Linked DNA regions of Macaca fascicularis. The protein of the gene in region 1 purifies or fractionates together with the protein of each later gene. This does not show direct contact. Links are inferred from orthologs where the notes say so. Each region holds a gene or a part of one and is shown on either strand. Other genes may lie near its edges.

Region 1 (3,500 bases):
GATTCGCCCACCTTGGCCTCCCAAAGTGCTGGGATTACAGGCATGAGACACCATGCCTGGCCGTAATTTTATACTCAAATTTGGAACTCTTGAAAATAATAATGAAATCATATAGTGAAAATCTGGAAGGCTTTGTCTCTTCTGCTGCTCAAACTTAAGAGGATGGGGCTAGGCCTCCTGGTCCTCTTCCAGCTCAGAAACTCTGACTCAGATTCAGCTGGAGGAGAATGAAGGGGAGAAGCCTCAGAACTGAGCTGGAGGTGGTCAGCTCCACGAGGAGGAGGAGAGACACTGCTGCCTCCCAAACGTCAGTTAGGAGATGTGTGGGCAGAATGGCTTGGGACCCACAGAAGCTGACTGTGTGCAGATGAGCACAGGACAGACGAGGCTTCAGGCGCCGTCTCTTCTGCCCTCCCCCATTGGCATTGGTCTGCATGTACTCATTCTTGGTGTCCACATCCTGTTTCCCTCTCTGGACGTGCAGTTCCTGGAGGGAGCCGGCTCTGTGTTGTCCGACCCCAACTCCATGAGCCTCACAATTCACACAGGTGCCTTGTCCTTGGGGATCTGCAGTGAAGGGAACAATGTGAACGGAGGCAGAGGAGTTGGGTGAATCAGGAAGAGCTTTGGGGAGCTGTGGAGAAAGAAACAGGACTTGGAAAGGGGAGTAGATGGGAAGGTGTTATGTGGTTTAATCTCAGTTGCTCCTTGCTTCCCAAAATACCCCTCCCAAGCCACCCCGTGATTCAACCTGCACTTTGCCTTCTAGTGGTGGTTCTGGGCCCTGTGCTTTGAGGCTCCCCTAGGGAGGACTGCCCAGGCTGGGAGGTGCAGGAGGCCACTCACTCTGTTTTATATCCTTTCCAACTCAGCTCTGTCTGCCTTCTCCTTGGATCTTTAGAAGTGGTGGCCCTGGAAATACCAGCATAGCTGGGATTAGGGACATGGCATTTTACCTGGGCTTACCCTGGCTCTCTTTCCATATACCTGGGGCTCAGGGGCTTCCCCTGAGGCAGCTTCCTGCCGCCCTTAGAGACTGTCAGGCACACCACCAGGAGCCTCAGTGCAGGAGCCAGCAGACCTGAGGTCTAGGCCTCAGTCTGGGCTCGCTCAGGTCACCCTCGTCCTATCTTGGGAACTCTTTCCACATTTTCAAGAGCCCGATCCACCTCCCAGGGCAGTGCCTCTGTGGCTTCATAAAGTGTGGAGCCCCACTGAGGCCGGGACCACCCTTCTCTTCTGTTCCAGCTGCTGGAAACGCGTTCTGCCAGGCTGCGCAGCTGCACCTGCAGCTCCAGAGCAAGCACGACGCAGCCACCTGCTTTGTGGACGCCGGCAACGCATTCAAGAAAGCTGACCCCCAAGGTGAGGATCTCTGTTGGCCACAGGGGCTGCCTGCCTGGCCCAAAGCGCCGTCCTAGCACCCTGCATCGAGTCCTCGGGTTTCCTGGAGGCTCTGGTTTTTCCAATGGCCGACGTGATAGGCTGGCAGGGACGCGCCTGAGGTAGAGTGAGCTTTGACTTCAGAACTGGCTCCCTTCCTTGTGGTTGGCATTCGCGCCCTGCTCAAGTCTCCGCCCCCTGTCTACCCTGTCGGTGCAGCTGATCACCCCTTCCCAAGCCCGGAGCATTTGGGAGTGGGAGTTCCATTGCAGACCCACCGCCTGCCGGGGAGAGAGGAAAATCTGTTCTGTTGTCAGAATTAACATGCAGAAGGGAGCAGGGTGGGGGGGATTTCTGAGACCAGCCAGGTAGGAGTTGCTGCCGAAAAAGGAGCGGAAATTAGCCCAACCTGGCTTCCCTACATCCTGGGGAGGAATTAGAGAGAACAGAGCCCGAGATATAGTTGCCAGAGAACAAATTACTTAAACTGAGAGCGTGTTAGGGACAGAAGCCCAGTTTGGGGCTGACTCATGGTGAGAAAACAGTTTTTGTCCCCCTGGGTGCCTCCTGAAGAGGAAGCCCAGCCCAGTGTTTGTATGGGGCGGGAATTTTAATTTATTTTTTAAAATCTTGGTGCTAGGTACAGGTTGCTAATTAGAAAGCACAGGCAGTTTTTAAAAATGACCATCTACTGTCACTGTCATCTCAGGGGAATGGAAAATATATAAATCTTTAAAAAGTAAAAAGCAGCTAAATGATCTTGGAATAAGGGTCTGTTCTTCCCAAGAGAAGACAGATTTGCAGCAGTGCAGGGCGCTTCCTCCATGGATCAGCGAGCACTGGTTCACACACCGTATTTGGGAACCGCTGGCATACCCCTTTGTCATGATCTGAGATATTAGTTCCCAGACGAGGATGAATTTGTGTGTTGACCAGTAGCACTTCTCTGTCCTTAGACTAACCAGTTGCTCCTCACCAGCCGAGCATCTCACACATTGGCCTCAGTGGTCACATGGTGGGGCTCAGGCCTGGCAAGAGGCGGAGGAGCAGCCTTGTAACTGGGTGGGCCGTGGAGCTTGCCTGGCTGGTAGCACGGGGCCACAGCGGGCTGCGTGGGTGATGCAGTGATGACCCAGGGAGACCCTGAGTTGGTTTTAAGCTTGACTTACCCCAGGAAATCTCCATGCCTTCCATTAAGCTGCCCCGCCAAGCCTTTCCTTCTGCTCCCTGGGAAACTGGTTGGCCTAGAGGCGCTGTCTTAGCATCTGTGATGTTCAGCTGCTGCCTCTTCTGGAGTGACTAGAAGGACTCTCTGGGGCAGCACTGAGCGCCAGGCTGCAGAACAGTGAGTGCCATTTGCTCTTTCAGCAGACTCTTCACTTCCTGCAGACAGGCCCTACCTGGCAGTGGGATATGGTGGGGTCCGTCCCCTGTGTTTGATCTGAGCTTTTCTAGCTCTCCAGCTAGACTCTGCAGGGTGTGGGCCTGGAGTCTGGATGTGGCCCTTCCCTTGCCTTAGGAAGCTCAGAAGGTGGCTGAGGACTCTGACTGGTAGGAAAGTATAAAGATGATGCCACATCCAGGGCACAGAGGCCGACTTGCGCAGAGCTGAGGCTAGGAGGGGGAGAATTTGGCTAGGGGAGATCTTTCGGGGAAGAAAGGGGGCAGTTCTGAGAGGCGAGCCTCACTTGAGTAGAGCTGAGAGCAGGTGCCATGTCCAGAGCCCTGGGGAGGTGGTGCTGAGCAGGGAGGGGTGTTAGCGCAGTGTCCAGAGCTACAGCCTAAAGATGCGCACCCCAGCCATGGCTCCCAGTGGGGCAAGGGGCACACTGGCATCAAGGGCAGCGGCTGCTGTGTGTCTGAGGCTAGTCAGGCCTTACAGAAGGCCAGGTGCAGTGGCTCATGCCTGTAGTTTCAGTGCTTTGGGAGGCTGAGGCAGGAGGATCACTTGAGCCCAGGAGTTCAAGACCAGTCTGGACAACATAATGAGATCCTGTCTCAAAAAAAAAAAAAACCACCTCACAGAGAATGTCATGTAGCAGCTGTGTGTGGCTCAGCAGTGCAGGTGGTGGATGGTCTGGGAGGACCCTGCCTCCCCTGTGATCCTGGGCAAGTCA
Region 2 (3,500 bases), on another chromosome or scaffold:
ACAGGGTTTCACCATGTTGGTCAGGCTGGTCTTGAACTCCTGACCTCAGGTGATCCACCTGCCTTGGCCTCCCACAGTGCTGGGATTACAGGCGTGATCCACTGCGCCTGTCCCCCTGCACACCCTTCTGTTTTGAAACATCATGCTGGAGGCTGTGTGGCCAAAATGCCAATTGCAACACGAGCGCTAATTACATCCCAGGCACTTTCTGGCTCAGGTAACCTTCCCACTGTTCTCAGAGGCAGCCCGTTTCACAAGGAGGAAAACAGGGCTCTGAGTGGCCAGGTGGGAAGGGAAGGATGGAGTAAGCGGTCATGTCCAGGCTCCACTTTATCGCCTCTCAGGGACTCCTGGGTCCCTGGTGCTGTTCATGAAAGTGAGAGGTGGGGAGGGCTCGGTTGGGCTGGAAGTAGGAAATGGTGAGAAATGGAGAGATTCCAGAGACAGTGAGGTGGCAAGATGGACCCAGCTTAGTGTGGGATGCGATGTGTGGGGAGGGAGCTGAAGCTGGAGGGTCCTCACGTAGGGGCTATGCTTGGCGTGAGCTGCCTGAAGGAACAGTGGCTTACAGAAGCTGGTGTGGCGCTCAGTCTTACCTAGGTTGCTGTCGATCTTCTGGTGATAGGCTCGAAGGTGTGGGTTCTTTGGGTAAGCATCGGTACTCACAGCAGAACCAGCCCCTCTGGGGACAGGGTCTAAGTTTAGAAGGAGACACCAGGAGAGTGGTTAATTGACATTGTTCAAATGCTGCTTCACACACCCAAAACAATTTCATCTGGAAAATGGGTGGAAGGAATGAAAGGTTGGTTCTGAGGCTATCCAGAGGGATGAGGGAGGAGCACAGTGCAGGCTCATGGGCCAGGAGAGATGCTTCCACAGGGTAGGGGATGGTTCCCACTTTCCCTCAGTCCTTGGGAGATGAAAGACCCTCAAACTAAGGGTCACCTACTCAGACCCTGGTGCACAAGCTCAGGAAAGACACGAGTCACACAAGTGACAATACACAGTGGAACTGCAATAATGCAAAACTACACAGTCTGTGGACAAAGTCTAAAAATACACATTGTTACGTTACATAAATGGAATTATGGGTAATTTTGTTTCTTTCCGAAATTTATCTCTACGCTATATTTTCACTTGAAACAAATAAGCCAAAAAAAAAAAAAAAAAAAAAAGAAATGTTAAATAATGCACATTTGCCGTAAGAAATCTTCCTTGAACCCTAGTTTCTTCTTTTTTAAAGTTATCTTTCTTGGCTTGAATGAACTTCAGTTTCTAAATGCACACAGAAAAGCCCTGTCATCCCAGTTTATCTCCTTTAGGGAAACATCACTTTCTAGACTTAGCATATTTCCTCCAGCACCAACCAACTGAAACCATACTGCAAACTGTGCCGATTTTTTTTTTCAGTCTTTTTTTTTTTTTTTTTTTTTTTGAGACGGAGTCTCGCTCTGTAGCCCAGGCTGGAGTGCAGTGGCCGGATCTCAGCTCACTGCAAGCTCCGCCTCCCGGGTTCACGCCATTCTCCGGCCTCAGCCTCCCGAGTAGCTGGGACTACAGGCGCTGCCACCTCGCCCGGCTATTTTTTGTATTTCTTAGTAGAGACGGGGTTTCACCGTGTTAGCCAGGATGGTCTCAATCTCCTGACCTCGTGATCCGCCCATCTCGGCCTCCCAAAGTGCTAGGATTACAGGCTTGAGCCACCGCGCCCGGCCATCAGTCTTTTAATATATACGACACAAATGGAAACTCCTTAATTCCTTAAAATTGTGTCTTGGGTGCAGTGTCTTGTGCCACTTCTCCAGGGTGTGATGAGGCCGATTTTCCCCACCCTTGCCTTTCAATTTACACTCACTTCCTCCACTTGCCTTTCCAGACTGAACTGTGCTGATGGTGTCAGTCTCTCCTGCTTCCCGCTCTTCCTCCATCTGATCTCCCCAGCTGCATCGACCACAACCATGGTGGGTTCCAGAGCTTCCATGGTGTATCGTTTTCTTGAAGGCAGCACAGTTTTAAGCCTTTGGTTTCTAGCACCAATTTCAATGTACCCTGGCTGTTGGGGGGCCTATGACGGAGGCCCCAGAAGCCCTAAATTCCTTTCCAGATAAGGGATATTTCTGGGCCTATCACTTGATAGAAGTGGAATGATTTGACCAACACTCACTGTCTTGCACACCTTGTCCATGTGGCTGCTGCTCCTCCTGCTTGGGCTGGAGGCTGTATTAGCCCCTCATTGATGCTGTGACAAATGACCACAAACTTGTCTTACGGTTCTGGAGGTCAGAAGTCCAACGTGGGTCTCACTGGGCTGAGTCGGGGTGTCCTCAGGGTTGCACTCCTTCTGGAGCTCTTGGGAAGAATCTAATTCCTCACCTTTTGCAGTTTTTAGAGTTCACTTGTGTGCCTTGGCAGGTGAGTCCCTTTCTCCATCTTCAAGGCCAGCAACATCTTCAGATCTCTGACTCTGCCACTCTCTCTTCTGCTTCTCTTTCCACTTAAAAGGGACCTTTGTGATGACACTGGACCCAACTGGACAACCCAAGATAATCTCCCCATCTTGCTGATTAGCAATTGTAACTCCATCTGCAACTGTAATTCCGCCTTTGCCATATAACCTAACAGACTCACGGGGTCTGGGGATTAGGACGTGGACAGCTATTTACCAAGGGGTTTTTCTGTAGTTGCCTTTTTACTGCTGGAACAACTGAGAGTGACATAGGCAGGAACCGATGATGGGCAGGCTTATTGTCTTTTTTGAGACAGAGTTTCACTCTTGTTGCCCAGGCTATAGTGCAGTGGCATGATCTCAGCTCACTGCAACCTCTGTCTCCCAGGTGCAAGTCATTCTCCTGTCTCAGCCTCCCAGGTAGCTTGGATTAGAGGCATATGCTACCACACTTGGCTAATTTTTTTGTGTTTAGCAGAGACGGGGTTTCACCATGTTAGTCAGGCTGGTCGCAAACTCCTGACCTCAGGTGATTCACCTGGCTTGGCCTCCCAAAGTGCTGGGATTACAGGCGTGTGTTATTGCACCAGGCTAGGCAGGCTCATTTTCAATGGAACGCAGGCCTTCACTTCCTTATTCTCCTCTCCATGGAGGCAGGGAGGAGGGAGGAGCCCTACCATAAGGCACACCCCTAGTTCCCCAAGAGCATGCCGGGTCCCTAAGGCCCTTTGGCTAGCATGGGTGATGCTGGCAGCTGGGGCCCCTGCCCACTTCCCCCGAGAGATTGCTACTGCCCCCTAAGGACCAATGCCAAACCCAGAGGTCTCCCTGCTAGAATTCGGGCTGTGCACACAGGTATCCACTTACCTGTATCATCCAGCTTTCTAAGGTTTGGGTGGCTGGCCTGGTACTTTGCTTCCTGTTCTTTACTTGTACTTATGGCTTCTTTCAATCTTTGGATAAAAGTTTACAAAAAAGGACAGTATTAAAAAAGGAAAAATCCCTATGACAATGTTATCAGTATTTTCACATAATGCCTGTATGCCAAAAATCA
Region 3 (4,023 bases), on another chromosome or scaffold:
CAAAAATATCCATTAAATGAATGTTCTGTGCATGGTGGTGCATGCCTGTAATCCCAGCAGTTTGGGAGGCTGAGGCAGGAGGATTGCTTGAGCCCAGGAGTTAGAGACCAGCTTGGACAACATAGTGAGACCCCATCTTGTAAAAATTTTTAAAAATAAAAAATGAGTGAATATCTCGATAGCCAGGATTAGAGAAGTGTCACAGTCAGAAAGACTGAAGCCTAAAGAAGGCCAAGGAACCAGGGTCTTCATCCTCAGATACATGAAAGGCTAAGATTCTGTCCACAAGTATTTATAGAGGGCCCGTAATGTGCTTGGTACTGAGCTAGGAACTCCCCAGATTCAGTTAAGAACAAAGTCATTACCTGCCTCAGATGCAAGGCAGGGTCTGGGGGGTGTGAGTGGCAGGGAAGGCAGCGTGCAGAGACACTTTTCTTAGCCTGAGCTGCCCTGACATGGTCTGACAGCCCACAAGGTGGTGAGTGCAGCCGGGCTGTAGTGTTCAAGGAGGGCGCCGGCTGGCTGCCCACCTGTCAGAGGCTGCGCCAGGAGGATGCGGAAGAAGAGGTTTCTGCCTTGGCTGAGGTCACTTTCCACCCCTAGATTCCCTGCCCACACAACCCTGCAATTTTCTGACGCTGACGACTCGGATCCTATTATTTCCCGATTTTCAAGGTCCCATGATGCTGACAGCCCCAAATGCTAAGTCGTCAGTCCGCCCACGCCCCTGGACCCGAAAGCAATAAAGGCGAAGTCAGCAAGGGTCCTACCACCCACTGCCTCGAAAGGCCTCTGGGAGTGGTGGGCGCGCCCCTCCCCACCTCGCGGGGGCCGTGTGGGCGTCGTTCGGTGGTCGGAGTGCCGGGGACGTCGTGATGAAAACAGCGTCCCAGAGACGGCGCTGACCGAGCCGGGACACGTGACAGTCACAGCGTCACATTCTGCGGTCCACGAGTTTGGGACCGGGTTGCTCACGTGACGCGGTGGGGGCACCATGGGGTGATATGAGATGCGGGTGCCTCAGATTACGTACAAATGACGTATTCCTACCCCTTTTGGCAACCAGATTTCCGTTGGAAGATGCAACGGTTCCGGTGACGGTAGCCAGTTCTCGCGTCCACGCAGCTCCGCTTCCGCTCGGGGCGCAATAACTTCCGACTCCACCTTCCGCGCCTCGGGCGAGGAAGAGACGCGACCATATGCGCATGCCCCGAATTTATCACGGAGGGGCGGGGCTGAGGCTGCGGGAGCTGGAGGGGGGAAGAAAAGGGAATTCCAACCTGTGGAACCTTGGGGGGTCCCCGGGGTCGGCGCCTTCCCATTGACTGTGGGCGGTGCAAGGGACGGAGGCTCTGGTGGCTCGTGGGGGTGTTGGGGTCCACAGGGGGAGGGAGGGGAGTGTCAGAGTGTGAGTGGGGTACGGGTATTCCAAGTTTGCCGGCCTCCCGGTCTGACGCCGGGGAGGGAGAGCTCAGGCCGCCATGCGGGACAGGACCCACGAGCTGAGGCAGGTGAGACGCCAGGGCAGCGGGGATGGGGGCGCGCGGACGAACTGGAACGCAGGACTCCTGGTCTTCGGGGTAGGGAGGGGTGGCTGATGGCCAGGAAGGAAAGTCCCGGAAGCCTGTGGGTCCTGCGGGGTGACAGCCGCAGCGAAACAGTGGTGCCAATGACTCCGGGCCTGGCAGGGGGATGACAGCTCGGACGAAGAGGACAAGGAGCGAGTCGCGCTGGTGGTGCACCCGGGCACGGCACGGCTGGGGAGCCCGGACGAGGAGTTCTTCCAGAAGGTAAGGGGATGGAGTCTTGGCCTGGATTCGCGAGGGGGTAGGAGGACCCGAGGAGCAGCGTGGTCTGGAGTACCCCATATCTCTTTCAGCCCTCTCGGTCACCCTCCCCAGGTCCGGACAATTCGGCAGACTATTGTCAAGCTGGGGAATAAAGTCCAGGAGTTGGAGAAACAGCAGGTCACCATCCTGGCCACGCCCCTTCCTGAGGAGAGTGAGTGAAACCCCGGCTGCATAGCGCATGCTCCGCCCCAGGGATTGTGGGGGTTGTAGTTCCACGCAGGTGGTGGCCAGGGTGGTTTGTTGAGGTGGGGGCTGCTGTTTGGGAGTCGTGGCCTTCTCTTATTCAGGCATGAAGCAGGAGCTGCAGAACCTGCGCGACGAGATCAAACAGCTGGGGAGGGAGATCCGCCTGCAGCTGAAGGGTGAGCTACTGGGACCTCAGGCAGATCCTTCCCTCTGATCCTGCCCTGTTGTTGGTATATCTGGGGAGTGTGTGGCCCAGAGAAGCCAGTGATATATCCAGGTCACACAGCAGGCCTGGTTCTAGCATCTCTGTCTTCTGGCCTCCAGGCCATTGTACTCTCCACAGCACAAGGCAGTCTCTCAGGTTCTTTTATTTACAATGAAACCATTTACTTACACAGTTATCACTGCCCACTGGGGCATTCTTTGGGCAGGGAGATGGGGTTTTGTTAGGTGGCCTCTGCATTCGTACGGGAACTCAAGTGATGTAATGCAAAGAAAAATAAACTTACTTTCTCCTCTTGGAGGCTCAGCCTTAGTCATTTTATGATAAATTATATTTCCCTAAAAATCCTATGGAGACAAGTACCCCCAATACCCCTGTGTCTTCCCACAGCCATAGAGCCCCAGAAGGAGGAAGCTGATGAGAACTATAACTCCATCAACACAAGAATGAGAAAAACCCAGGTGGGTTTTTTTTCTCAGAAATGACATTTCAGCAAATGTTTCATGAAGTAGTAGATGACAGATGTATGAAGGAAGGGCCTGTAGAGGTCATGGAGTCCAATTGGATGATTTTTCCAAGTGGGGAACCTGAGCTCAGAGAGAGAAAGAACTTGCTCAAGGTCAGGAAACCAGGTCTCCTGATGCTCAGTCCGGTTATAACACCCTGCTTTATTTTCTTCCATTCAATAAGAAGTTACTTATTGACCCCAGACAAGACCTAGGCTTGACTGTGGGACACGTTTTCTTTTCTTTTTGCCTCAGCCTCCTGAATAGCTGGGATTACAGGCGGACACCACCATGCCGAGTTAATTTTTGTATTTTTAGTAGAGACGGGGTTTCCCCATGTTGGCCAGGCTGGTCTCGAACTCCTGACCTCAGGTGACCCTCCTGCCTTGGCCTCCCAAAGTGCTGGAATTACAGGCGTGAGCCACTGCGCCCAGCTGGGACACGTGTTTTCTAGGAGTCAACATGAGGAGTTAGGGTTCAATAGGGGATAAAGACATTACTCACGTGGGATCTGGTGGCTAATGGCGCTGCCCAGGGAAGGAGAGTGAGAAGTCACAAATTGACTGGCAGGTTTGCTATCTGTGTGACAGGGACATCCTTAGTCCCACAGGTGGAATTCAAGAAGTCAGGAAGTGGAACTTCCCTGGGGCGACACTGAAGAGGAACTCCCCTGGTGTAATATCTTTTTTTAAAAAATTATTATTATTTTTTTGAGATGGAGTCTCTCTCTGTCGCCCAGGCTGGAGTACAGTGGCACAGTCTTGGCTGACTGCAACCTCCACCTCCTTCAAGCGATAATCCTCCCTCAGCCTCACAAGTAGCTGGGATTACAGGCGTACACCACCACACCTGGCTAGTTTTTTATATTTTTGGTAGAAATGAGGTTTCACCATGTTGGCCAGGCTGGTCTTGAACTCCTGACCTCAAGTCCTCAAGTGATCCACCTGCTTTGGCCTCCCAAAGTGCTATGATTACAGGCATGAGCCACCGTGCACGGCCCCTGGGGTGATATCTTAGTAAGGAGATTTGCAGTGATCTGACTGGCCCTCTTTGTGTCCCCAGTGAGGAGGATACCAAGAGGTCAGGGTTGGAGTAGTTGAGCCCAGGGCTCAGCAAGGACCCCAGATTGAAGATGAAACAGCTTGGGCATCTTGGAAGGGTGCAGCTGGAACCAGGAGAGCAGATGTATCTCTGGAAAAGGAACTCCAAGGAATGAGCATATTTAAGGTCTCAGGAGAAGGGGCAAGGCAGAGCAGAT
Region 4 (2,510 bases), about 42 Mb from region 1:
ACTCCATCTCAAAAATAAAAATAAAAATAAAAAGATCAAGAGAACCTAAGCCATTAAAAAAAAAAGATTCACCTGGGCGTGGTGGCTCATGCCTGTAATCCCAGCACTTTGGGAGGCTGAGGCAGGCAAATCACTTAAGGTCGGGAGTTTGAGACCAGCCTGGCCAACATGGTGAAACCCCATCTCTACTAAAAATACAAAAATTAGCTGGGTGTGGTGGCACATGCCTGCAATCCCAGCTACTTGGGAGCCTGAGGCAGGAGAATTGCTGGAAACCAAGAGGCGGAGGTTGCAGTTAGCAGAGATCGCACCACTGAACTCCAGCCTGGGTGACAAGAGTGAAACTCTGTCTCAAAAAAAAAAAAAAAAAAAAAGGAATCCGGAACACGCACGCGTGCACAGACACACTGGGGCACTTGTGCAAGCACTGGCTTAGAATGGGAGTCCCAATCAGGGCTCAGTCATGCATTTTGCAGTCAACACACACCACACGACACAAATACGTATAAAAAAGGCTGACGTTTTATTTCCAGGTTGGCACATGTGTAAGGCACAGGGGCGAATGGCTTTGGGGTCCCAGAACTGGAAATGGAGAGGGGTGTGTCTGAGGTGACGCTGCCTCTACCACCCCCTAAGTGCACTTGAGACAGGACCAGTGGTGGTGGTTTCGGCCCAGGGTCCTGAAGGGTACCACTGGCTCTGGGGGGGAGCCGTGGGGACAGTTCCCCAGGCAGGAACCTCTACTTTCCAGCTACCCAGGAGGAACCCTCTCCTCCTAGGGGGCTAGGCCAGCTCCAAAGTGCTTGGTGGCTCCCCAGGCTTAACGGACCAGCCTGCCAGGGAGGGCTGGGGTCAGAGAGAGAAAAGTAAGATAAGAACGAGGAGAAGCACCCCCACCAGCACGGCGATGGCACACCACTGTCGGCGGTCTGGGAACGAGAAGATCAGAGGTCACCGGGGAAGAGGGTACCACCTACAACCTGCCCCCACTAGGACTGACCTCGCCCCCAAGGGGACTCACCACTCGTCATGTGGGATACTTTGGCCAACTTCCTGAGGACCCCGTCCATGCGGGACTGGGTGTGGTCCATCTCTTGGGCGAAGGCATCCAGCATGCTGCCAAGAACAGGATGGCATCAGCCCCAGACGGCCCAGACACACCAGGGTGGCCGAGAGACCCTGGCCCACCCCCAGGGTCCTGGCCTCACATGCCCTGCTCGTCCAGCTCTTCCCCAACGCGGCCGGACATGTGCTTCAGAACCTGGATGCTCCCAGACACCATCTCCAGCTGTTGATCCTGTTCGTCCATGATCAGCTGCAGAGCGAAGGGGTGGGAGGTGCTGTTGAAAAGGACCCCAGAAGGCCAGGCGCGGTGGCTCATGACTGTCATCCCAGCACTTTGGGAGGCCGAGGCAGGTGGATCACTTGAGGCCAGGAGTTCAAGACCAGCCTGGCCAACATGGTGAAACTCCAACTCTCCTAAAAATATAAAAATTAGCCAGGCATTGTGGTGGGCGCCTGTAATCCCAGCTGCTCAGGAGGCTGAGGCAGGAGAATCGCTTGAAGCTGGGAGGTTGCAGCGAGCTGAGATCACGCCACTGCACTCCAGCCTTGGCAACAAAGCAAGACTCCATCTCAACAACAACAACATAAAGGGACCTCAGACCTCAGATCGGTCTGCAAGACTCTCCCCTCCCTGGATCCACCCCACCGGCCCCAAAACCTGCTGTGTGGCCTGCTGCTCTTCGATGTAGCGAGACGTGGCCGAGACTGCACTGGCATCCAGCAGGTCGCTGAGTGACTTCTGGGGAGCTGGCTTGCCTGCCAGGATCTGCAGGGGCACACAACATAGGCTCGGGGAGGGACCCCAACTCCCAGAGGGGCATGGGGGACAAATCCCCACAGTGGTGAGTCAGGGAGGCAGACTCTGGGGCAGGAGAGCCTGCATTCCCCACTCACCACTTACTAGCAAGGTGACCCAGAGACCCCGTCATTTGACTTCCTTGTGCCTCAGATTCCTCATCTGTAAAATGCAGAGAACAGGATGGGCACGGTAGCTCAGGCTTGTAATCCCAGCACTTTGGGAGGCAGAGGTGGGCAGATCACTTGAGGTCAGGAGCTTGAGACCAGCCTGGCCAACATGGTGAAACTCTATCTCTACTAAAAGTACAAAAATTGGGCTGGCTGCAGTGGCTCATGCCTGTAATCCCAGCTCTTTGGGAGGCCGAGGCAGATGGATTACAAGGTCAAGAGTTTGAGACTAGCCTGGCCAACATGGTGAAACCCCATCTCTACCAAAAATACAAAAAGTAGTCAGGCGTGGTGGCGGGTGCCTGTAATTCCAGCTACTCGGGGAGGCTGAGGCAGGAGAATTACTTGAACCTGGGAGGCGGAGGCTGCAGTGAGCCAAGATCACACCACTGCTCTCCAGCCTGGGTGACAGATTAAGACCTTCTCTCAAAAAATAAAAAAATAAAATAAAAAATAATAACATAACATAACATAAAATA
Region 5 (3,500 bases), on another chromosome or scaffold:
AAAAAAATCTATGAAAACATCCTTTTAGGCATACTGATTTATTTAGTTATCCCTATCCCAAAAGCAATTAAGTTAACAAGTATTTACTGAATTTCTACCATGTCTCAGGACAGTTATAGGCCCTGTTCTCACAGATGTTATGCTCTAGAGGCCCTTTTTCCTTCATGTGTTTGAATACCACTTCAGATGCTGACCAATCTATCCAGGAGCTTCTGATTTACTTACTTTGCATCCGCGCCACCACATTTGCCTTCGAAGTTGTTTGGATCTGTTGCTAAAAGCTGTTGCATTATCCGATAAGCTTTCTATATCACATAGAGGATGGAGAGAAGGATTAAACGACATAACAGGATTCTTTTATCTAGTCACACAAAGATAAGAAAATATTAATTTCTACTTCTGCAAATTTATTCCCTTTTAAGCATGAAAACAACATTCTCCCTTTTTTCCACCCACAAACTCTGGCATTCTACATTATAAAAAAAACAAAAACAAAAACAAAAAGTAAAAAACAGTTTGCAGATCAGTTTGCTCAATCCTTTTTTATTATAAAATTAAGAAAAGTCTTTTTAGGGCCTTAATGCTTATAAATAAGCTTAGGAATTCTAATAAGAAAATACTCTTTAAAAATTCAAACACTTGGCACACCTCTAGAAAAAAAATTACATGTAGAGAAGTTAGCTTTTTAGAAGATATCAAAAGTGACTGATTTTAAAGGAAAACAATATACATTTTAAAAGTGACTAAGCGAGGTTGTCTTTTTTTTAAGTCTGTCAAAGATTAATCAGGTATTCAGCCATTCACCATTCAAACAATATTTGAGTGCCAAGTACATGCCAGGTATGGGTATATAGGTTATAGGTGTAATGACTGAAAGTAAAGAAAGGTGACTAAGTTACCAAATGAAACATAAAATAAAAATAGCAGATAAGTTTGAAACAAGTGTTGAAAAGTGAGTAGGTCTTTCGGCCCTGAGATCGTGAGAAACACAAAGTTCATCAACATCAAAGTGCGAAAGAAAAAACAGCTCTACTCTTCACTCTTCAACAATGAAATTTTAAATTCTTCATTCTCCAATGAACAATTAAAAAATAATGTAACAATAAGATGACTCAAAGTAAAGGAGTTAAAATTAAACCATTAAAATCATACACTTAAGAACCAAATACCAGTTTCCTAAGCCAAGATTTGTAAATGCTGGCTAGATAAGTAGAAGAAAAAAACTAGCAAACAGATTAGTAATATCAAGGAATACATGAAGATCTGTACCTGATTTGTCCTGTAGTTCATCTAGTCTCTCCCCTCTCTCAATTACCTTTGTAATATTTTCTTGCATGACATCAATAACTTCATCCACTTGATTCTGAACACTAGTTTAAAAAAGTTAAACAATTATTTATCCTTCTTTTGAGAATATTTACAATTTCTGAAATTTCATTAGACATAATAAAGAACAGCAAATTCTCGGAGAATTATTCAACTATTAAATTTAAATTTAGGACTTTATAGCAATGTTCTTCCATTTGTGGGCTTCAGTATTCAGATAATGAAAGACAATTTGATATAAATTAAAGTAATATTTAAAGATAGCTTACTTTTAGCCCTGCTTCTGACTTGCAACCCATAAGCAAGTTAAATGTACTGTCAGCATGCTCATTAAGTGCAGAGTTTAAACCGCTTCACTAAAAATAATCAGGTTTTCTTTTCAACAGGCTATTGAGGCTGCACCCTACTTTTGCTATATATTTCATACACGAAGGCTAACAAAGGAGGTATGTTAACATACTTTTTAACATACCTTTTGCTCAGGTACGGTAAAGGCTTATGAAACATTCCTAGTTTCCAGAATGGAAATGTAGGGCATATTCTAAGAGATACTGATGCTCAATGGGTAGAATTCTTCACTGCTCATCAGATTTTTCTTAAACAGGGTATAAGATAACTGGGGACACCTGGGAATATTTTGAAGAACCCACCAGGAAGCAAAAAGGAAAAAATTGTTTTCTGTTTTTCGATTGTTTGTTCATCCTTTATATTAGATGATGGGGGTCTGTTTTAACCAAATTTCAGGCTGTTCAGTAAAGACTTAACCTAAACTTAAAATTGTAATAACTGTCTTCAGCTATCCACTCTCATTCAGGAGTTAACTCCAGAGTACACAAACATGGACATGTTTAATCATTTTAAGTGTCTTATTCTCCTCTGTGGCTCTAACCACAAGACAAAAAGTTATCTTAAATTACTTTATGAAATAAGTCACAACAATGAAATATTTAAAAGGAGAAATAAAGCAAATCCATGGTCCTCACAACTAAACACTGTTTAAAGTGCACTGGATTACTTACTGCAGACATGTGCTGCATAACATTTTGGTCAATGATAAAGCACATTTACAACAGTGGTCCTATAAGTTATAATACCATATGTTTACTGCATGTTTTCTACGTTTAGATAAGTTTAGACACACAGATACTTACCATTGTGTTATAATTACCTGCAGTATTGAGTGCAGTCACACGCTGTATGGCTTTGTAGCCTAGGAGCTACAGGCCATACCATATAACCTAGGTGTGTAGTAGACTACACTCTGTAGGTTTGTGTAAGTACTCTATGATGTTCACACAATGAAACTGCCTAATGATGCATGTCTCCAAACGTAGCCTGTCATTAAGGGTCCATGACGGTTATAAACATTAAATGTATAAATATTTAAATAAATGAAGATATGCAATTGCGTTTCTAGTTGGAAAAGGAAGAAGTGAGTAGGGGGCTTTAACAATTTTTTACAATACACAGATATGGTCTCCGCCCTCTACCCCACACAAGTCCCCAAACTAATGTAGTAAGTGAGGAGTGAGGCACGGTCATGTTTAATTTTGAAAGAGTTCTATCCTTTCCGATCACTGAGCTAGTTCTTTAAAAAATTTGCTATAAAAACAAAATGAAGGCCCATTTAGACATAGGTGGATTCAGAAGTACTCTCAGATTCAAGTAGCAATTACTAAGCTTGATGACAGTAACCTCCATCCCAGGTTAAAAGCATTATGTACACCCACTGATTACCCACACATAAACTTCAAGATTTTTCACAGCATCCCAGAGTTCTGTGCTTCCCACATATTATTCCACTGGAGGATATAAGACTGAAGCTCAACCAAGTTGGGCATGCAGAGTTCTCTTCTGTCCAAACAGATCTGAAAGAACCCCTAAGTCTCTAAGACATCTTGTTGCAACTCCCAGTCCCCTAAGTAGAGAGTTGAAGGTGTTCATCTTATTTAAGAACAATGGCACAAATACACAACTAATTAATTTCTTCAACAAATAACGAGAACCTACTACGTACTGTTTTAGGTACTGAGGAAGTAACATTGAACAAAATAGACAAGTAATCCCAGCCCTTACGGAACATATGTTCGAACGTACATTGAATGCACTGTATTAACCTTATAGCTGTGAAACAGCATGCTCTACCCCATTACTCTATCTTATTTATAGCATGT
Region 6 (3,500 bases), on another chromosome or scaffold:
TAAGTCATTATTCTCATGTTGGTTATGTTCTATAGGTCAAATATCTAATTATACCTAAGATAAATAGACACATTTATCAAATACTGTTTATATTTTTCAAATACATGAATTGAAATACGTGTCTAATGTATAATGCATGCATGCTACTTTAACATTTTATGTCATTTGGGTACTCCTGAGAGTTATTCTCATGTGCACTCCGAGTCATTTTTCCTTACTCAGATTTTCTTTTCCATAGAGCAAATTGGTCAGGAGATGTTGGAAAACCTTAGTCATGACAGAGAAAAGATACAGCGAGCACGTGAAAGAGTAAGTATAAGTGATATAGTTTTTTCACATATTCAGTAAATGAAGACATAAATGAAAGGCATTGGGACATAAACAGTAGCAATTAGGTAGTTATATGTATCTAAGGTGAAAGAGGGTGTAAAGTCTGTGGAAAGGAAAAGAAAGAGAGTGACATGGAGCAAATAGCAGCCGACTCTATGTCCCCATCCCAGAATGCTCCCAGGTGGGTATTTTATTTACTTCTTATAGAGGAGAAGGTCACTGAGGGAGATTTTGGAGTATGTTCATCTTTTAGAGTGAAAACTATAGAATTATTGGTGGTCATCTTTTCTCAATTCATATTATTTTTATGTTTTTAGGACTGCACATTCATAAGTTGGAGATGAATTACCAAATGTTTATGAAACTTTTTCAGCCTGTGCTTTGCTTTTATATCTGGTTCTAGTATCCAGCTTAAAGCTCCCAAGATTACCTCTCATGTGTCATTCTCCAAATATAAGAATTTTCCATGTTTGTGTAGCTGTCAGAAATGTATTTATTTTTGTATATTTGAACATTTTTATTGTTTGGATTTTCTACCGTGAAATAAATTGTCACTTGCCATGCACTTTAGAAATAGTCTAATTGCATGAACTTTTGTTTTGTTTTAACATTGCTGTTCTTCTTGTAGCTTCGGGAAACAGACGCTAATTTGGGAAAAAGCTCCAGGATTCTGACGGGGATGTTGCGAAGGTAAGAGCAAGGTAGGGACCCATCTTTCTCTCTGTCTCTTTTTAAAACTATTATGTTTTCATTCAATTGCAACGGGGCATATTACATGCTTTTAAGCTTCTGCTCTTAGTGCCCTGTGTCAGGACCCGTTTGAAATAATAAAGCACTGATATTAACTCTTATTTGGACAGGGACACATAGTAACACAGATTAGAGAGAAAGCTTGAGCTAGGGGGGTAACCTGAAGCTATGGAAAAAATTAGGGTTAGACATGAAGTGTTTTTTCATAGCCTGAGGAAGGCCCCATGGCAGGAGCAGGCTGATTTTATTTTCTATTTTGATGGCCTCCTTCTTATGGAGGGAATGCAGACCTACCATTTTCAGGAGCACAGTTGCTGTTAGTTTTGCTCTGTGTTGCCTTGTTTTCATTTCTTTAAGTGACACGGTTTGGGGAAACATTTCTGTTTTATGTATACACTGAAAGATGATTTATAAAACGTCAAGATTATCTGAATAATATGTGCTAACAAACAAATGTTCATGTTTTATATGTGTAACTCAACCTTGATTGATGAAAAATATGCTAAATAGTATGAGAAAATAAATGAATGAATGCAGGTAATGTTCTTATAAGTACATTCAGCGCAAAATTATTTCACATTCAGAATCTACCACATAAGAATATCATCTAGCATGACTGTCAGTTTGGAACTGTGGATAGAAAAGTGAATGAGAAACATTGAGAATGGCCTCTGGAATAGCTTAATTAGAATTTTTAAGAAGGAAATCTTTATAGTTGATACTATAAAGACAACCATCTAAAAATAACTAAAGTCTTCTTTGATCACGTATCCATATACAATAGTTTGCTAAAAGTATGTTTGCCGTGTTACAGATTTATTACATAAGAATCAATCAAATGTCTAGTGGTTTGGTCTTCAAGACTGTTAAGATTTTTCTAAGTAGCCTGACCAGTAGCAAGCTTAAAGTTCCTGGGACATTTCCAGCCAAGGCTTGCATAATATGACATTCCTTCTCATTTTCTTGGACCCTGACTCCCAACTCAGAATCATAAGCCATCAAATTCTCTGATTAAGAGTACTAGGTAAATGGCCTAAGAAAAACTCAGAATTCAGAGAGAAGGGTAGTGGTGATTGAAAGGAATGCTTCAGTGCCTATAGACAATAAAAAAGAAAGGAAGGGGAGGGAAAAACCTCTGTTGCTTTCCTGGGAGGGCTCCTGCGTCGTGAGCTGTAACGAATATTCTGCATATGTCTCCATTTTGTCAAATCTCATTAAAGAGTCCTCCTGCTTTATGTCAATTGAGCTGTCCAGAAATCATTCATCATTTTTAGTGTAAAAAAAATGATGTGGTTATTTAAATAATATCATATTAATGTTAAAGTTCAGCTGTCATTTAATGGTATGGCTTAATCAGATGTAGCATTTAGGAAAAATAGTTTATGCGGGCTCCACGTGGCTTTCAGGTTGGCAGATTCAAATAAGGATTTATGGGTTTCGAAACCAATGTATTTCTGTCCATGTTTCTGCTTGATGTACCTCACCCTTTAGTGCAGGACACTGCAGACAGTTATTTCAACAAATAAAGCATCTCCTCATATTGTGTTTGAATAAATTTGCAAGTCATTTAGAGAGGGCGAAGCACAAACAACTTCGGCAACCTTTGACTGGGCTTTCTGTAGGGAAATCATAATAACGTGGTTGTTTCAGAAGCCTACGGAAGAAAATTACTCTGGTGAAATCTACATGGGGTTCTCTTTGTAAGCAAACTCAGTCAATCACTGACTCATCTTCTTTTGGGATGTGTCTAGAGTATGAACAGAAATAAAAATTCCCAGATGGACATCACCTTGCTACATCTGAACCAAGGGTACGCTTAAGTCCACCTGTTCATATGCATGACAATGTTTTTCACTAGGCACAGCTGGGATCTTGGTATCAGCCAGGATATTCAGATATTTTCAACCAATGCCTTGACCTGGCAATGGTCTCTGGGGACCAAATGCAGTGGTGGTTTTGTTTTAGTTTCTAATTACTGCCCCATATGATATACAATGTATTTTGGACTTGGGAAAAGGTACAAACATTTTACCAACCTCTCTGCTTCATTATTTTGGTTATCTCATGGAAAAGCTCTCTGCAGAGAAATAGAGGCAGGGTTTATGTACCAAAGCCTCTTATTGAATGCTCTGATTTTGCTTTCTCTGTTACATCCCTCCCATTCATTCATATGGCTTTCGCTTCCAGCCCTGGTGAGCTTGTATTTCAGAAAGAAAAGCCACATTCTCTTACTATTCTTCTTACCAAAACTGCATAGCTATGTCGTGTGTCAGCAAGCGCTTCTGATTTAGGAAATGCTATGATACTGAATCGTGCTCATCTGCTACCTTCACAAATGTGTAAAAGAAATGAATGTCCTCATTGTGCAGTGCAAGCATTTACCTGCATATAACATAAGCTTAATTATTTTCATATGATGA
Region 7 (2,707 bases), on another chromosome or scaffold:
TCCTCAAGTCTCCTCTGTTGTCTGTGCTTACCCTATGGGCTAAGCTGAACTGAGCTGTTACATTTCCAAAATATGCCTCGCTGTCTTTATGCATGCCTTTGCGCATGCCACTGACTCTTCCTAGAATGCCCCATTCTCCTTCTCTAGAAAGTCTTCTCTTACCATACTTCTTCCCAAAATAAGTTAGGTGTCCTTTCTTAATGTGCCTCCAATAACCCCATACAGTATTTATCCCACTCTATTTTAGATGCCACTTTGGTTGCTGATACATTTCATCTAGTCAGATCTTCCCACTGCCTCTTATAAAGAAAACCAGGAGCCACGTTATGATATCCTTGTTCTCTAATTTTTCTGCCACCCTGATCTTAAACCACTTTCTTTTTCCTTTGTTGACATTTACCCCATCCCTTTATTAATTAGCCCAACAAGATTAGAGAGAAATGTATCTACAAAGGATATATGTAGATAAATTAACTAGATAATAAAACTTCACACTGAAGTGAATATTCTAGAAGTATTTATTTCATTGCTGACCATTAGGTTGCAGCATGCAACTCTCAACAATGAGCTGCCCCTCTCCACTCCTATAGAAGCTCCAAATACTATGGTACCACTATTTAGGTTTTCAGCCTTTCAAAGGCTTTTATTATCAACATCATCATTACTTAGGCAGGAGCCTTTCAGGGACTTAAAAGCACTTATTATCTATAAAAGGTAACTTCATATTGCATGCACAAAATTCCCAATTGGCAGATTTAGGTCCATAAAAGAAAAAAAATATTCTAGTTCTATAAATTATCAGGAATAAAATAGCATTCCTCCTTGCCTTGTTATAAGGAAATAATATTTTTTTTCCTTACCAGGAATCAGGATAGTATCTTTGAGGATCCCTCAGGGTTATAAAATTGCTTACTGGTTAAAGTTTTCGCCAAAGATATTAAGAAATAAAAAGTTCGCTCATTTTCCTGTACAATTTAAAGAAGTATCTGCAGTATGTACAGGAGTTTTACGTTATATTGCAGACCCTTGCGATAATATTTAAAAGGCCTATTTTCCCCATTAAAAAATTCTACCTCAGAAGGTAAAAGGAAATCCCCATCATCCCTGAGCAGAAAAGGAAAAAATCATGGGTATTTTAATTAGTTAATAGAAACCACTATAAATGAGTTATCTATCTCTAGAACATTCTCAGAGAATTTACATGAACCAAAACAGGAATGAAGTGCTCTCAGAGACTTTTTCTCAGGTAAATGTATTTAGTAGTTTGAGTAGCTGATCTGCAAAAACTTTAAATTTAATTAACTACATAAATGAATATTTTTTATTTTGAAATTTGAGAATGTCCTAAGAGGATGTCTACAGGACATGAAACTACTAGGTGCAGGAAAATTTTTTAAATGTTAGCAAATTGTGGCAGGAGGAAAACAAACAGTGGAGAAAATTGTGGTAGAGAAAGTAAAGAAGGGGCAGGAGAAAGCTGTACATATAACCTGGGCCTTCCTTTCTTCTCATGAAGCCAGGGGCTTCATCTATACCCTATACTTGCTCTTACACTAGTACAAACCAAATGCTGCAAAATAAAAGTAATAATGACCCAAACTAATTTAAGTCTTTTGTTTAAGGAGTAAATGAGAGAAACATTGTAGCTTCTCAATCGAAGAGTGCTATAATTTCAAGGTATCTTAATATAATTCACTTAACCCTAAAGCAATTGTGCAATAAGCAAATTATAAAAGGAAAACAACAAAGGTTAACTTTCTACTGGGGCCAATAGACAAGATCTGTGGAGCACAGCAATTAACCTTCACATACTGGAGTCTTGTTTAAAAGGCCATCAAAAACTCAGATTATTGAAAATCACAAATGTCACCAACAAAAGGAATGTTGATTAGAGTCAAAAAAAAAAAAAAAAAAAAAAAAAAACCTTCCCAAAGGACTGCCTTCTTTGAAGGAATTTCAGAATGTTGCTAGTACAGGTTGACTAAATCTCATTGATGGCTCCATTAGAGAATGAGAATGCCCCAGTCAGTGCTGTTTTTAAAATGCACTGGGAGGGAAAAAACGAAATAACAATCTACTGTTCCCTAACATATATGGCTTAGCACCCAGAGAAAGCCTCTGCCCCTGAAACAGACTTTCTACATAGGGTTAAGCTTCATTAAATGAGGTGTAACCTTTCATTTTCAGGACGTCTCTTTTCTTTCAAGGTCTTTAGAGGCAGAAGTTCCACTTGGATTCTAATACACATCTCTGTGAGCTCAGTTTCCTGAAAATATACACCTACTGGGTTCTAGGTTCTCCCTTACCAGTGACTGTATTCATTATTTCACAGCCACCAGAATCGGACATACACTATTAACATGATGAAAAATACAGCTACTGCTGCAAGTTTGGCATAAGTGGAACGCATGTTCAAGTACTTCGCATCCTGGCGGTATTTCTTGGACAGACTGGACAAATTGTTAGCCTTTGAATCCAATGCTGTCAAAGAGGAAAAAAGGAAAACATTAATTAGTCCCTGGAAGTATTTTGCCAAAAGTATTAAGGCATTAAAAATAACCAAAATGAGCAGCATTGCAACAACCATGAATCTTAAATCATCATTTTTATTTTTAAGACTAACATTGCATATACTAATTGATGATCCTGAAACACTGTAAAATCTATAATACAGTTTAAAATTATCAGATCAGATTATGTCTGAATT

Evidence for each region.
Region 2: the proteins of NAPA (region 1) and SNAP29 purify together in Homo sapiens (affinity purification with mass spectrometry; 3 studies listed by BioGRID and IntAct, with this or other methods). This does not show direct contact. The link is inferred for Macaca fascicularis from reciprocal best matches to the Homo sapiens genes NAPA and SNAP29.
Region 3: the proteins of NAPA (region 1) and STX4 purify together in Homo sapiens (affinity purification with mass spectrometry; 4 studies listed by BioGRID and IntAct, with this or other methods). This does not show direct contact. The link is inferred for Macaca fascicularis from reciprocal best matches to the Homo sapiens genes NAPA and STX4.
Region 4: the proteins of NAPA (region 1) and STX10 purify together in Homo sapiens (affinity purification with mass spectrometry; 3 studies listed by BioGRID and IntAct, with this or other methods). This does not show direct contact. The link is inferred for Macaca fascicularis from reciprocal best matches to the Homo sapiens genes NAPA and STX10.
Region 5: the proteins of NAPA (region 1) and VAMP4 purify together in Homo sapiens (affinity purification with mass spectrometry; 3 studies listed by BioGRID and IntAct, counting the BioPlex papers as one, with this or other methods). This does not show direct contact. The link is inferred for Macaca fascicularis from reciprocal best matches to the Homo sapiens genes NAPA and VAMP4.
Region 6: the proteins of NAPA (region 1) and VTI1A purify together in Homo sapiens (affinity purification with mass spectrometry; 3 studies listed by BioGRID and IntAct, with this or other methods). This does not show direct contact. The link is inferred for Macaca fascicularis from reciprocal best matches to the Homo sapiens genes NAPA and VTI1A.
Region 7: the proteins of NAPA (region 1) and SEC22B purify together in Homo sapiens (affinity purification with mass spectrometry; 3 studies listed by BioGRID and IntAct, counting the BioPlex papers as one, with this or other methods). This does not show direct contact. The link is inferred for Macaca fascicularis from reciprocal best matches to the Homo sapiens genes NAPA and SEC22B.

What each region holds. Positions count from the first base shown.
Region 1 is NC_088393.1:55,519,461-55,522,960, reverse strand, and holds part of NAPA (alpha-soluble NSF attachment protein), read left to right. Parts: intron 1-1,248; coding exon 1,249-1,365; intron 1,366-3,500. UniProt on the Homo sapiens protein: Required for vesicular transport between the endoplasmic reticulum and the Golgi apparatus. Together with GNA12 promotes CDH5 localization to plasma membrane.
Region 2 is NC_088384.1:31,848,204-31,851,703, reverse strand, and holds part of SNAP29 (synaptosomal-associated protein 29), read right to left. Parts: intron 3,400-3,500; coding exon 3,314-3,399; intron 696-3,313; coding exon 597-695; intron 1-596. UniProt on the Homo sapiens protein: SNAREs, soluble N-ethylmaleimide-sensitive factor-attachment protein receptors, are essential proteins for fusion of cellular membranes.
Region 3 is NC_088394.1:29,214,372-29,218,394, forward strand, and holds the start of STX4 (syntaxin-4), read left to right. Parts: upstream 1-1,223; 5' UTR 1,224-1,481; coding exon 1,482-1,511; intron 1,512-1,688; coding exon 1,689-1,790; intron 1,791-1,879; coding exon of another isoform or gene 1,880-1,901; coding exon 1,902-2,001; intron 2,002-2,137; coding exon 2,138-2,212; intron 2,213-2,649; coding exon 2,650-2,720; intron 2,721-4,023. UniProt on the Homo sapiens protein: Plasma membrane t-SNARE that mediates docking of transport vesicles. Necessary for the translocation of SLC2A4 from intracellular vesicles to the plasma membrane.
Region 4 is NC_088393.1:13,550,163-13,552,672, forward strand, and holds the end of STX10 (syntaxin-10), read right to left. Parts: intron 1,832-2,510; coding exon 1,724-1,831; intron 1,316-1,723; coding exon 1,209-1,315; intron 1,117-1,208; coding exon 1,022-1,116; intron 930-1,021; coding exon 853-929; 3' UTR 501-852; downstream 1-500. UniProt on the Homo sapiens protein: SNARE involved in vesicular transport from the late endosomes to the trans-Golgi network.
Region 5 is NC_088375.1:29,326,331-29,329,830, forward strand, and holds part of VAMP4 (vesicle-associated membrane protein 4), read right to left. Parts: intron 1,371-3,500; coding exon 1,270-1,370; intron 362-1,269; exon of another isoform or gene 306-361; coding exon 226-305; intron 1-225. UniProt on the Homo sapiens protein: Involved in the pathway that functions to remove an inhibitor (probably synaptotagmin-4) of calcium-triggered exocytosis during the maturation of secretory granules.
Region 6 is NC_088383.1:121,710,711-121,714,210, forward strand, and holds part of VTI1A (vesicle transport through interaction with t-SNAREs homolog 1A), read left to right. Parts: intron 1-238; coding exon 239-309; intron 310-958; coding exon 959-1,020; coding exon of another isoform or gene 1,021-1,024; exon of another isoform or gene 1,025-1,031; intron 1,032-3,500. UniProt on the Homo sapiens protein: V-SNARE that mediates vesicle transport pathways through interactions with t-SNAREs on the target membrane. These interactions are proposed to mediate aspects of the specificity of vesicle trafficking and to promote fusion of the lipid bilayers.
Region 7 is NC_088375.1:114,243,133-114,245,839, reverse strand, and holds the end of SEC22B (vesicle-trafficking protein SEC22b), read right to left. Parts: intron 2,482-2,707; coding exon 2,327-2,481; 3' UTR 501-2,326; downstream 1-500. UniProt on the Homo sapiens protein: SNARE involved in targeting and fusion of ER-derived transport vesicles with the Golgi complex as well as Golgi-derived retrograde transport vesicles with the ER.